Linked DNA regions of Mus musculus: all the other regions are reported to be linked to region 1. The links are microRNA targets in miRTarBase. Many come from high-throughput screens and were not tested one by one. Region 1 holds a microRNA gene; each other region holds the end of a gene's coding sequence.
Evidence for each region. Region 1 holds the annotated microRNA mmu-miR-1199-5p (UCUGAGUCCCGGUCGCGCGG, at 2,033-2,052, shown strand). A microRNA usually pairs through its seed, bases 2 to 8, with sites in the 3' UTR of a target mRNA and lowers its output. Matches are read on the target gene's strand: a 7mer-m8 pairs with bases 2 to 8, a 7mer-A1 pairs with bases 2 to 7 and ends in A, and an 8mer does both.

Region 1 (3,228 bases):
TGGGCACTTTAAAACCAAGCCATCATCCCAGGCCTTAAACTTACTCTTGTTTAAAGATTTATTTGTTTTTATTTTATGTGTATCAGCCATGTGCCTGCACATGTATCTGTGCACCATGTTGGGACAGTGCCTGGGTTTGGGAGGAGGTCAGGTCCCATAAGGTTAGAGTTACAGATAGTGTGAACCATCCTGGTCATCTGGAAGAGCAGCCCGTGCTCTTAACTGATGAGCCATCTTTCCAACCCAAGAGGAGGCACCGTTTGAGGCTGGTTGTAAGAGAGGACAGACTGAAAAGGGTGACCAAGTAGTTGGGATTGTGTAGCCCTCTATTTCCATTTACTTTTTTGGTGAAGCAAGATCTGGAAATGCAGGTGTCCTGGAACTCATTACGGAGAATAGGGGCTGGCCTGAGACACCTCTACCTCTGCCTCCTGAGTGCTGGGATTAAAGGAGTGTGCCACCACTCTCTTAATCCCATTTAATCTTTCCATTTTCTTTAGGCAATTCTTTCTTCTAGGTTACTATAGAACACAGGGTGGGCCGGTTTTTGTGAAAGCCGGGTTCCACAAGGGCGAGTGGAAATGTCTCTACGAGTGGTTAGCCCTCACTCTGGGTCATCGACCCTGTCCCGAAACACAGATCGGGCACCAGACAAAGGTCGCTACTGCCTCCCGCTAACCCGGTGGCTCCTCTGCCCCATCTTGGGCCTCCTGGGCAAACTGGTCCAAGCTGACCGCCTTCCAGCCACAATTGCTCGGCTGAGGCCCGGAAGTCCTGTAATGTCTGTGCCCTCAAACACCGCTCATTCTAGCTGGACACTTGGCTGCCAATGCCTTGCGGGCTTTTCTGGAAGGTGGGGGTGGGGAATCTGCCCCAGGGTTTTGAGTGGCGGCAGCGCCGCTGCAAACCAGACAGAGCTGAGCAGCCCCGGGTAGCAGCAGCACCCAGTGCGGCGGCCCCGGGCGACCCTCGGGCTGGACTCGAGCTGTGTTGCCTCAGCGATCAGTGTGCAGAGAAGGCCCGGAGATCACGGGATAGGGGGCGGGGGGAAGGAGAGTGGTGTCGCTGGCCGCAGGCTGGCACTTGCTGACCTAGACTAGTGAGGTCAGCGAAAGACGACCGGGGAAACACTCTGTAAGGAGGCCGTGGTTCAGCGATCAGCGCGGCGCTCCGCTAGAGGTCAGGTCTCCGGAAAGTGATGAAAAAAAAAAAAAAAAAAAAAAAAGACCCCAGAATGCCAGCGTGGTACCAGAGGGAAAGGGCGACACATACCCCCTGGGTAGTGAGTTCAGGGAAGCCCTTTCCGAAGAAGCCACCCCTTCAGTCAACCCGTGTGTTCAGGTGGCGGGAATCCGGAGAGCAGTGGAGGCGCCCTGGCCCATAGGGCGGGTCCAGGGCCACTCGAATCCAGCTGGCAGGTGACGGGGGCGGTGCCCAGTCCTGCCCCCAGGGGATGTTCCTGGAGGCCAGAGGCGGGTCAAAGAAGAGTGCTGGCGACGCCTATGAACCTCGGGCGGCGGCTGTAACTACAGGTACTGCACAGGGCACCGTGTCCTACCTATTTGGGCATCTCAATTCGGCTCTGAGAACTAAAATTTTCAAAGGGCGCCTAACTCCAAACATCCATGTCCTCGGGTGTCCGAGAGTGGAGTCCTGGGGTCGCCTGAAGGCTACGTGTTCCGGGAGCCGCAGAGCCAGGGCACCGAGGGCTGCTGGGGGAGGCAGTGAGGTCCTGGAAACCTCTGGAGAGGAGCACTTGCAGACTCTGGAGCCAGAGAGCCAGGTCCCGCAGGTGCCAGTTGAGCACCGGACCGAGCGCCCGGGCGGTCCACAGCTGGGCCGCCTGGCACTAGTATAACGGAGGTACTGGGGCAGTTGTGCCCCTGTCTCGGCTCAGAGGCCTCCAGGTGTGTTTTCTACCGAAGCCCGCGGCATCCAAACCGGCGCCGGCGGAATTGCAGATGGAGACGCCCATCCAGCGCGAAATCCGCCGCAGCTGCGAGCGGGAGGAAAGCCTGCGCCGGAGCCGGGGTCTGAGTCCCGGTCGCGCGGGCGAGGAACTCATTGAGTTGCGCGTGCGGCCGGTGCTCAGTCGGCCCGGCTCCGGTACTCCGCTGCCGCGCGCCCTGGAGCGCGCTCGGGCGGGCGCGAAGATGCAACGGGACATCGAACGCGAGGCTCACAGGCAGGCGGCGCTGGCGAGCCCCGCGGTTCCGGAGCCTAGCGCCCGGCGGCGGCCGCAGCCGCTGGACGAACTCAAGCGCTTCTTTGAGGCTGCGGCGGAGGACGGCGCTGGCTTGCAGAGGCAGCCAGAGACCGGAGGCCGGCTGCACCCCGCCGTTCAGGACGGCTGTCCGGTACTGGGGCAGTTGCCACCGCTCGTTGCCCCGTCACTGCTGGAGCAGGAGGTGCGACGAGTGCGCGAGCGCGAGCGGGAGCTGCAGTTGCAGCGGCGCAGCATCTACGGCGACGCCGAGGTCCAGGAGCCAGCGCCGAGCCTCACCCGTAAGCGGTCCCCCTGGGCCCTAGAGCTCCAGCTGTCTCCACCTCCAGTGATCATTCATCTGTAGGCTTGCAGACCCTTAACTATTCTCCTGGGGGTTCACCTTCTTTTCTTCACTCCCACTCCTGGAGTGAGGATCCCCACATCCATCAGACCTTGGAACCTTGACTTCTGGCGTTCTCGGGTCCTCTGTAGTACTCGGGTGCCTCTCTACATTGAGTTTGCCTCATTCCTGTTCCTGGGTCCTCAGAACTGGGTGGAGGCCTTCATGGGGAAGAGGGGTGCACACCTGTATGTATATAAGGGGTGCGGCCATCCTCCAGCTGGCAAGAGGAGGGGCAGTCGCGGCTGAGTGTTCCTTCCCCCACAGCGAGCAGGGGAGATGGAAAATTGTCGGTGATCTGGCCTCCGCGGAGACGGGCCTCTGAGAAGGTGGGAGACTCCCTTTCCGATGCTTGTCGGTCTCCCAGCCCTCCCTGCAGCACCTGGGCACTGGGGTGGAGGGAGAAGGTGCCTCTTGGTCCCCTGGAGCGCCACTCTAACCCAAACTCAAAAGTCCTAGACGCGATCCAGAGAGTGAAGAGGAGGTGGAGGCCTAGAGGCCAAACTTCTCCCTGAGGGTGTTCTTTCTCTTCCCCTTTTCCTTCTAGGAGCGCAGACCCTGAGGTCTATGAAGGTTGGGACCTGCGGACAGAAGTAACATACCCTTTGGAGAACCAGGGTAG
Region 2 (3,114 bases), not on the chromosome of region 1:
GACACCCTGCCTCAAAAACAAGTAAACTCAAACACAAATACCCATAATGAGTACCACATCTAAACCGCTTTAAACCTCAGTACACTTCATTTCACTTCACTGTCTCTGCCTTCTGAGCACTGGGATTAAAGGTGTACACCACCGGCGTCTGGCTAGGATCTCATCATTTCACCTGTTTATAATAAAATACACACAAAAAGGTTTGGATTTTCATTTCATTTGGAAAAAAACTATCTAGAAATAAAATATTTTAATAATGTACAAGTTTCATTATGTATGTTTCTCCAAGTATTGCAAATATAAGAAATCCAAGTTAGGGCTGGGCACGTAGCTCAGTTGGCAGAGTGCTAGCCTAGATGCATGGATCCTTGGGCTCAGGCCTCAGCACTGAACTAGGCATGGTGGAACAGGCCAGCAATCTCCACGCTGAGGCGGTAGAAGCAGGAAAAGCAGACGTTCAAGATCATCCATGGCTACACATGGAGTGTGAAGCCAGTCCAGGATACACGAAAGCTTGTCTCCAAAACAAAACCAACCAAAAAAGAAGACACATAACACAAGCTACCTAAGTTTTTTAAAATCCAAGGCCTTTAATTCAAGCTTTGGGTAATGACCATAAATGCCTCCACAAACCCTCTTTTCCACTGTAAAGAGAAGGCACTAGGCATTACAGAACACCCTAAGCACTGATTCCTTCTAATGCTGGTGGAGATAACACATTAAACAAACCGCAGGGTTTGAATACTAAACTCCTTAAAAACAATGAAAGAGCCTAGCGGTGGTAGCACACGCCTTTAATCCCAGCACTCGGGAGGCAGAGGCAGGTGGATTTCTGAGTTGGAGGCCAGCCTGGTCTACAGAGTGAGTTGCAGGACAGCCAGGGCTACACAGAGAAACCCTGTCTCGAAAAAAAAAAAAAACAAAAAACAAAAACAATGAAAGAGACAATTCTGAAATTCTAAAACTGACATAAAAATTTAAGTTAACCATTCAGTCTTCCTTGGGTTTCCAATGCATAATTTGAAATTAAGAGATAAAGTAGGTGAATATGATTTGGTTTTCACCATGTGTTGAGTTTCTGTTATATGTGGTAAACATAAAGACAGCATTATCATGCTAATTGATATTTCATGTTTTTCTTTAGGTGTGCAAAATAAACTTCAAATGATATATCCTGTAGAAGTATATTTCAAAAATCCTTGATATAATACTAATGACTTTCATATTCATGTCACAAACTGTATATAAATTGTGAAATTATTAAAATACATTTTTTTGAAAAATAATAAGATGACCATTTCTACCTAAATAAAGTTTCCCAGAAAGTTATGAAGTACTTTAGCATATAAAAGTAGTTGCCCCTTTTCTGAAAGGTCAGTATTGTTTCACAAAATAAATTTTCAATCAATCAATCCAGACAAATGATTTCATTCAAATGCCATATTCTTCCTAGGACAGTGGTATGCTTCAAGAGACTGTATCCATGAGTAAGGAAGGGGCACCCTAGATATGAGACCACAGTCACACACACAGAGAAACCTTCTTGGATCAGGAATGCCCTTGAAAATAACAGCAAAAGAATAAGAGATGGCTTCTGAAGCCACCGTGTGGCTGCTCAGAAGGGCAGGTACTTAAGTCACAGCTATTTACACATGTGCTGCTTTGTGTGTGCCTATCTGAACAGTGGCTTCTGCAACACTCCCATCTGAAACCAAACTATCTCATTCTACTTTTGGCAAGGTAGTACAAACAAAATGAAAACAAACAAACAAAAGTGTAATGCTGATTTACACAAAAGGTCCCATGTCAAACAACAACAGGAAAAGTCTTCTAAAAATCATCCACTAGGGGAAATAGTGTCACCCAACAAATAACGTTAAAAGGTAAATGTAAAACTCTCAAATAATTATTACATGAATGGCTTATCTTTGACATAAAAATATTCTTTTAAAAAACAACTATGATGTTCATTGTGAGAATGTCTTCAAAAGACATTCAAGCTACCTAGTGTATGCAGGCCAGTGAGTAAAAGAGAGAGGAGAAATCAGCTCTTCCATAGCCAGAACTGCATGTGCCTCCTTCCTCGGAGACACACCTAAGTTGTGAAAATGGTAGAGAGTTGTGACATGAAAACCTACATGATAATTTAAAACAACAGGCAATAAACATGAGGGGCAACAAGAAATACTTTTGGGCAAGTGATTACTTGACATAATGCCTTTGAAATTATGTATCATAATTAAAAAAGAAAAAGCCTTACAATTAGCAGCTGGACCCTGTGAAACATATAGGACAATGGAAGGCACTACATAAGCCTCAGTTATATCTAACTATAGTTGGAAAGTTCAGTTTTTCCTTCTTAAGAAGACAGCCAGTGTGAACATTATTCTTCTATTCCCCTGAGTTCAACATGATTGGGCAAAGCAGCACCAATTTAAAAAAATATCTGCAATGCCGGCACTGCAGTTTGGAGTCACTTACACTGATGGCCCCATAGGTCTCTCATAAGAGCACTTTAGAACGTGATTAAAAATATGGAAATGTCTTTCGGTATTTCAGCATTGTGGAACCACCACAGAACGCACTACAAATGTCTGTGTGTCCGCTCAGCCTTTCCAGCTGTATCTAGCAATTGCTGCTTATTTCCGTGCTGTGCCCCTGAGCTTGCTCAGTGTGCGTCTAGATGAATGTCAGTATGCTTCCTGCTTCACAGTCCTTTCTGGCTGGAAAACCTGACAAGTGTTATGTCATGCCGGTCTTGAGCAGTATGCCTTGCAGGTCGTCTGGTAAGGCCAGGATAATTGCATCTATATGTGTCCGTAACTTCTCCACAGTGTCAGGCTTCACAGGTAAGCTCTCTCGGCCAGCCTGCAACTACATAAGGAACGGTTTTAGTGAATCTGTGTGAATATATTGTCTTTGCTACATAAACACCTTTTTTTAGAATGATCACTTGGAAGTTTAGGTCTCAGCCTAGAATTTACAGAAACTAAAATTGTAGAGAACATCAAGTGGGGGAGGGGTGTAAAGAGACCTTAATAAAGGCCATTCTATACACTCATAGATGAGGCCAAAGGATAGTGTGTGCCATAAAATCTAGGTAAGACAATGGTT
Region 3 (3,114 bases), not on the chromosome of region 1:
TGGGAACTGCTGTGGTTACTTACATACTGATGCTAACTTCTCTTACCCTGCAACATTTTTCTCCTCGGTAAAATAAGATTGTAATCTTTATTCACACATTCTTTTCTCCCTTCCGCTTTACAGGTGGATCATACAATAATAATGTACTTGATTGGACCAGATGGAGAATTTCTTGATTATTTTGGACAAAACAAGAAGAAGGCAGAAATAGCCGGCTCAATTGCTGCACACATGAGGTCACACATGAAGAAGAGGTAGCCAGAGCCGTGTCACCAGATGCAGGATTGGCTTGCTGAAGAGGAAGCTTTGTCTCCCAGAGGAACCTCTATATACTGTAACATACAACATGGACTTCATACCCTGAGAACATCATTCTACATGAGATGTTACCCTGGGGCTCAGCCAACCCAGTCTGCCAGGAAACTACCATGAGTTAAAGGGCCAGGGTGGTCAGAGCCAGTGGAGAACAGACGTCCAGAACCATCAGAGAGGCACACAATGCACATCTGTAGGAATGGCACTCTTGGAGTAGTGTTGCTTCCTTGCCGGTGTCTTCTTGCTCAGGGGGGCCAAATTCTACAGGAAGGTGTCACTTCCGTAATGTTCTTGCTGTTTCAATTTGTGTGCTCAGCATAGGCATTCAAGTCCTCTTTATATTTGAGAGTAGAAGCTTAGCTTCTTTGAAAAGGAATGTCACCATCAGGTCTGCATCTCTGTCACACAGTAGGTGCTGCTTTGGGCTGGAGGAGAAAACTTACTGTTTGCACATAACTTTTGGTTCATTCTCCACCTTTTTATTTTTTATTTTTTGTTTTTTGAGGCAGGGTTTCTCTGTATAGCCCTGGCTATCCTGGAACTCACTCTGTAGACCAGGCTGGCCTCGAACTCAGAAATCTGCCTGCCTCTGCCTCCCCAGTGCTGGGATTAAAGGCGTGCACCACCACTGCCCAGCTTTTTTTTTTTTTTTAATCCTTTTTATTTTTTTAATAGCTAAGTGGTTTGACTGGTTTTCAGTGGTAGACCACGTGGAAATGAGAATATTTATCATGTCTATGATCTGGTAATTTTTATGTACCAGATTACACAATGTATGAAATAAAAGATGTGGTCAGTCCAGCAACTTGGACAAGCATGGCTTTGCTTCTGTGAAGAATGGGTCCCTAGCACACCATGGTAGGGGTAGAGGCCACAGACTGAAGTGCTTGTTAAATAGATAAGTGCTTGTTAAAATGCAGATTCACAGGCCAGGAACTGGCCTCTCTTGAGTCAGAGTGGGATACAGAGACCTGGGTCTCCAGGGGCAAGTGACTGAGATCTGAGGACCTGAGCCCACACCTGGGTCATCTGTTCCATAGAGAAGTAACAAGCATAACCAGCTCTTAAAGGTGTCAGCAGCTACTCCAGGGAATGTCGTCTGGCTGGGTGTGGTGTGCACACTGTTAGTCCCAGCACTCGGGAGGCAGAGGCAGGGGCTTCTTCAAGTTTGAGGCTAGCCTGGTCTAATAGAGAGTCTTGGGCCAACCAGGCTACCTAATAAGACCCTGTCTCCAAAAAAAAAAAAAAAAAAAGAGAGTAAGAAAGACGATGCCTGCTGAGTAATGAATCTTGGCTTTGTTTCTGAATTAAACTTCCCTGATACCTGGGTTTGGCTATCTCCTTTTCAACTTGAACCTTTTTAATGAATCCAAAGATGCTACAAATGAGCCTTGCTGGAAACCATTCTTCCCAAACACAGATTAGTTTATATGCAAGCAATAAAGGCTTACCTTCTGGTTTTTAACTTCTTGGTACTTACATGAAGCCTAATGAAAATACTTATGTCACCATGAAAGAACACCTGTACTTGTTATAGGCCAAATCATGTCATTTACAATTTATATATTCAAGTCCTGGATCAGTCACTTCAGAATGTGACTGAATGTGGAAAGAAGGCATTTATTTATTTGTTGGTTTGTTTTTAAATTTTTGAGGCAGGGTTTCTCTGTAATCCTGGCTGTCCTAGAACTTGTAAGGACCAGGCTGGCCTTGAACTGAGATCCACTTGCCACTGCCTCTGGGTAGTATTTGGTGCTGGGACTAAAGGCATCACCACCCCCACACAGCTGGAGAGTAAGGCTTTAAAGAGGTAATAAGGTTTAAATGAAGCTGTTAGGTTTTCTCTTCCTTAAAGCAAACCTACTGATATCCTTAAAAGGGTAGGAAATTAGAACACAGGAGAGCAGGCTGAAGCACAGTTGTCTGTCCCTGGCCTCAGAAGAAACCGACTCCTGACACCCCCATCATTGATTGCCAGTCTCTAGAACCTTAAGAAAACAATTATTTTCTGTTAAATCAGTCAGCTGCAGTGAACCAGTATAGTCCATTCCTTAGTTGTGAGCCACCATGTGGTTACTGAGAATTGAACTCGGAACTGCTGAAAGAGCGGTCAGTGTTCTTTAACCACTGAGCAATCTCTCCAGCCACCCTGTTCAGAGACGTTTAAGACATTAAGTAGCCATTTAATGTCTTTATCTCAGGGTTCTGCATCGGTCACTCTATATCATACTGTAACTGTGTGTATACTGCGCTAAGGTCAAGGAAGAAGCAAGTAGAGTAGGGTTCAGTGTAGACCAGAACAAATGCAACAACCTGCTTGTTAGGGTTTTTCTTTGTAAAACCAGGATTGCATTAGGAAGGCATCAGATGGTGGGAGCACAAACCAGACGTGCACAGCTCCAGCAGGACTTGGTGTGATTGGTTTCAATTGAAGCAGACACAAAGCCCCTTCCAGAGTGAGATGCCTTGAACTATGTAGTGGCTTACATACCTGGAAGTGTAGGATGTATCCTGCCACTGTCTACAATCTACACCTCAAAACACATCAGAAGAATTCCTATGAGTGGCCTTGAAAGAAAGCATGTCTGGGGTGTAAGACTTCAACTCTTAGCAACGTGCTCTAGCTTAGCACAATAGCAAGGGCAGGCTACCCCAGGTGAGAGAGGGACAAAGAGACTGAAGAAGGCAGAGCTCTCAGCAAAGTTTAACAAACCCAAAGGGAAGAGAATGGTTTATTACTTATTGCAAACATCACCACCCATAATTTCCATAATTTCCCTACTTGTTCTATGCAAGAGT

Region 2: miRTarBase lists Dennd6a as a target of mmu-miR-1199-5p. Seed matches in the 3' UTR shown: 7mer-A1 at 832-838.
Region 3: the mRNA of Sco1 is a reported target of mmu-miR-1199-5p. Seed matches in the 3' UTR shown: 7mer-A1 at 885-891.

Annotation. Positions count from the first base shown.
Region 1 is chr8:84,010,418-84,013,645 of GRCm38, reverse strand. It overlaps Mir1199 (microRNA 1199), which reads left to right and starts at 2,013; the gene lies at 2,013-2,131. Misp3 (MISP family member 3) reads left to right here and starts at 1,926. Exons shown (of 3, transcript NM_001291292.1): 1 at 1,926-2,505; 2 at 2,874-2,935; 3 at 3,154-3,228. The coding sequence starts at 1,962. The coding sequence ends at 3,168.
Region 2 is chr14:26,629,188-26,632,301 of GRCm38, reverse strand. It overlaps Dennd6a (DENN/MADD domain containing 6A), which reads right to left. Exons shown (of 20, transcript NM_001134465.2): 20 at 1-2,874. The coding sequence ends at 2,743. Among named protein-coding and RNA genes, the nearest start is that of Arf4, 7.4 kb to the left of the region's middle.
Region 3 is chr11:67,063,783-67,066,896 of GRCm38, forward strand. Sco1 (SCO1 cytochrome c oxidase assembly protein) reads left to right here. Exons shown (of 6, transcript NM_001040026.1): 6 at 124-3,114. The coding sequence ends at 258. Among named protein-coding and RNA genes, the nearest start is that of Sco1, 13 kb to the left of the region's middle.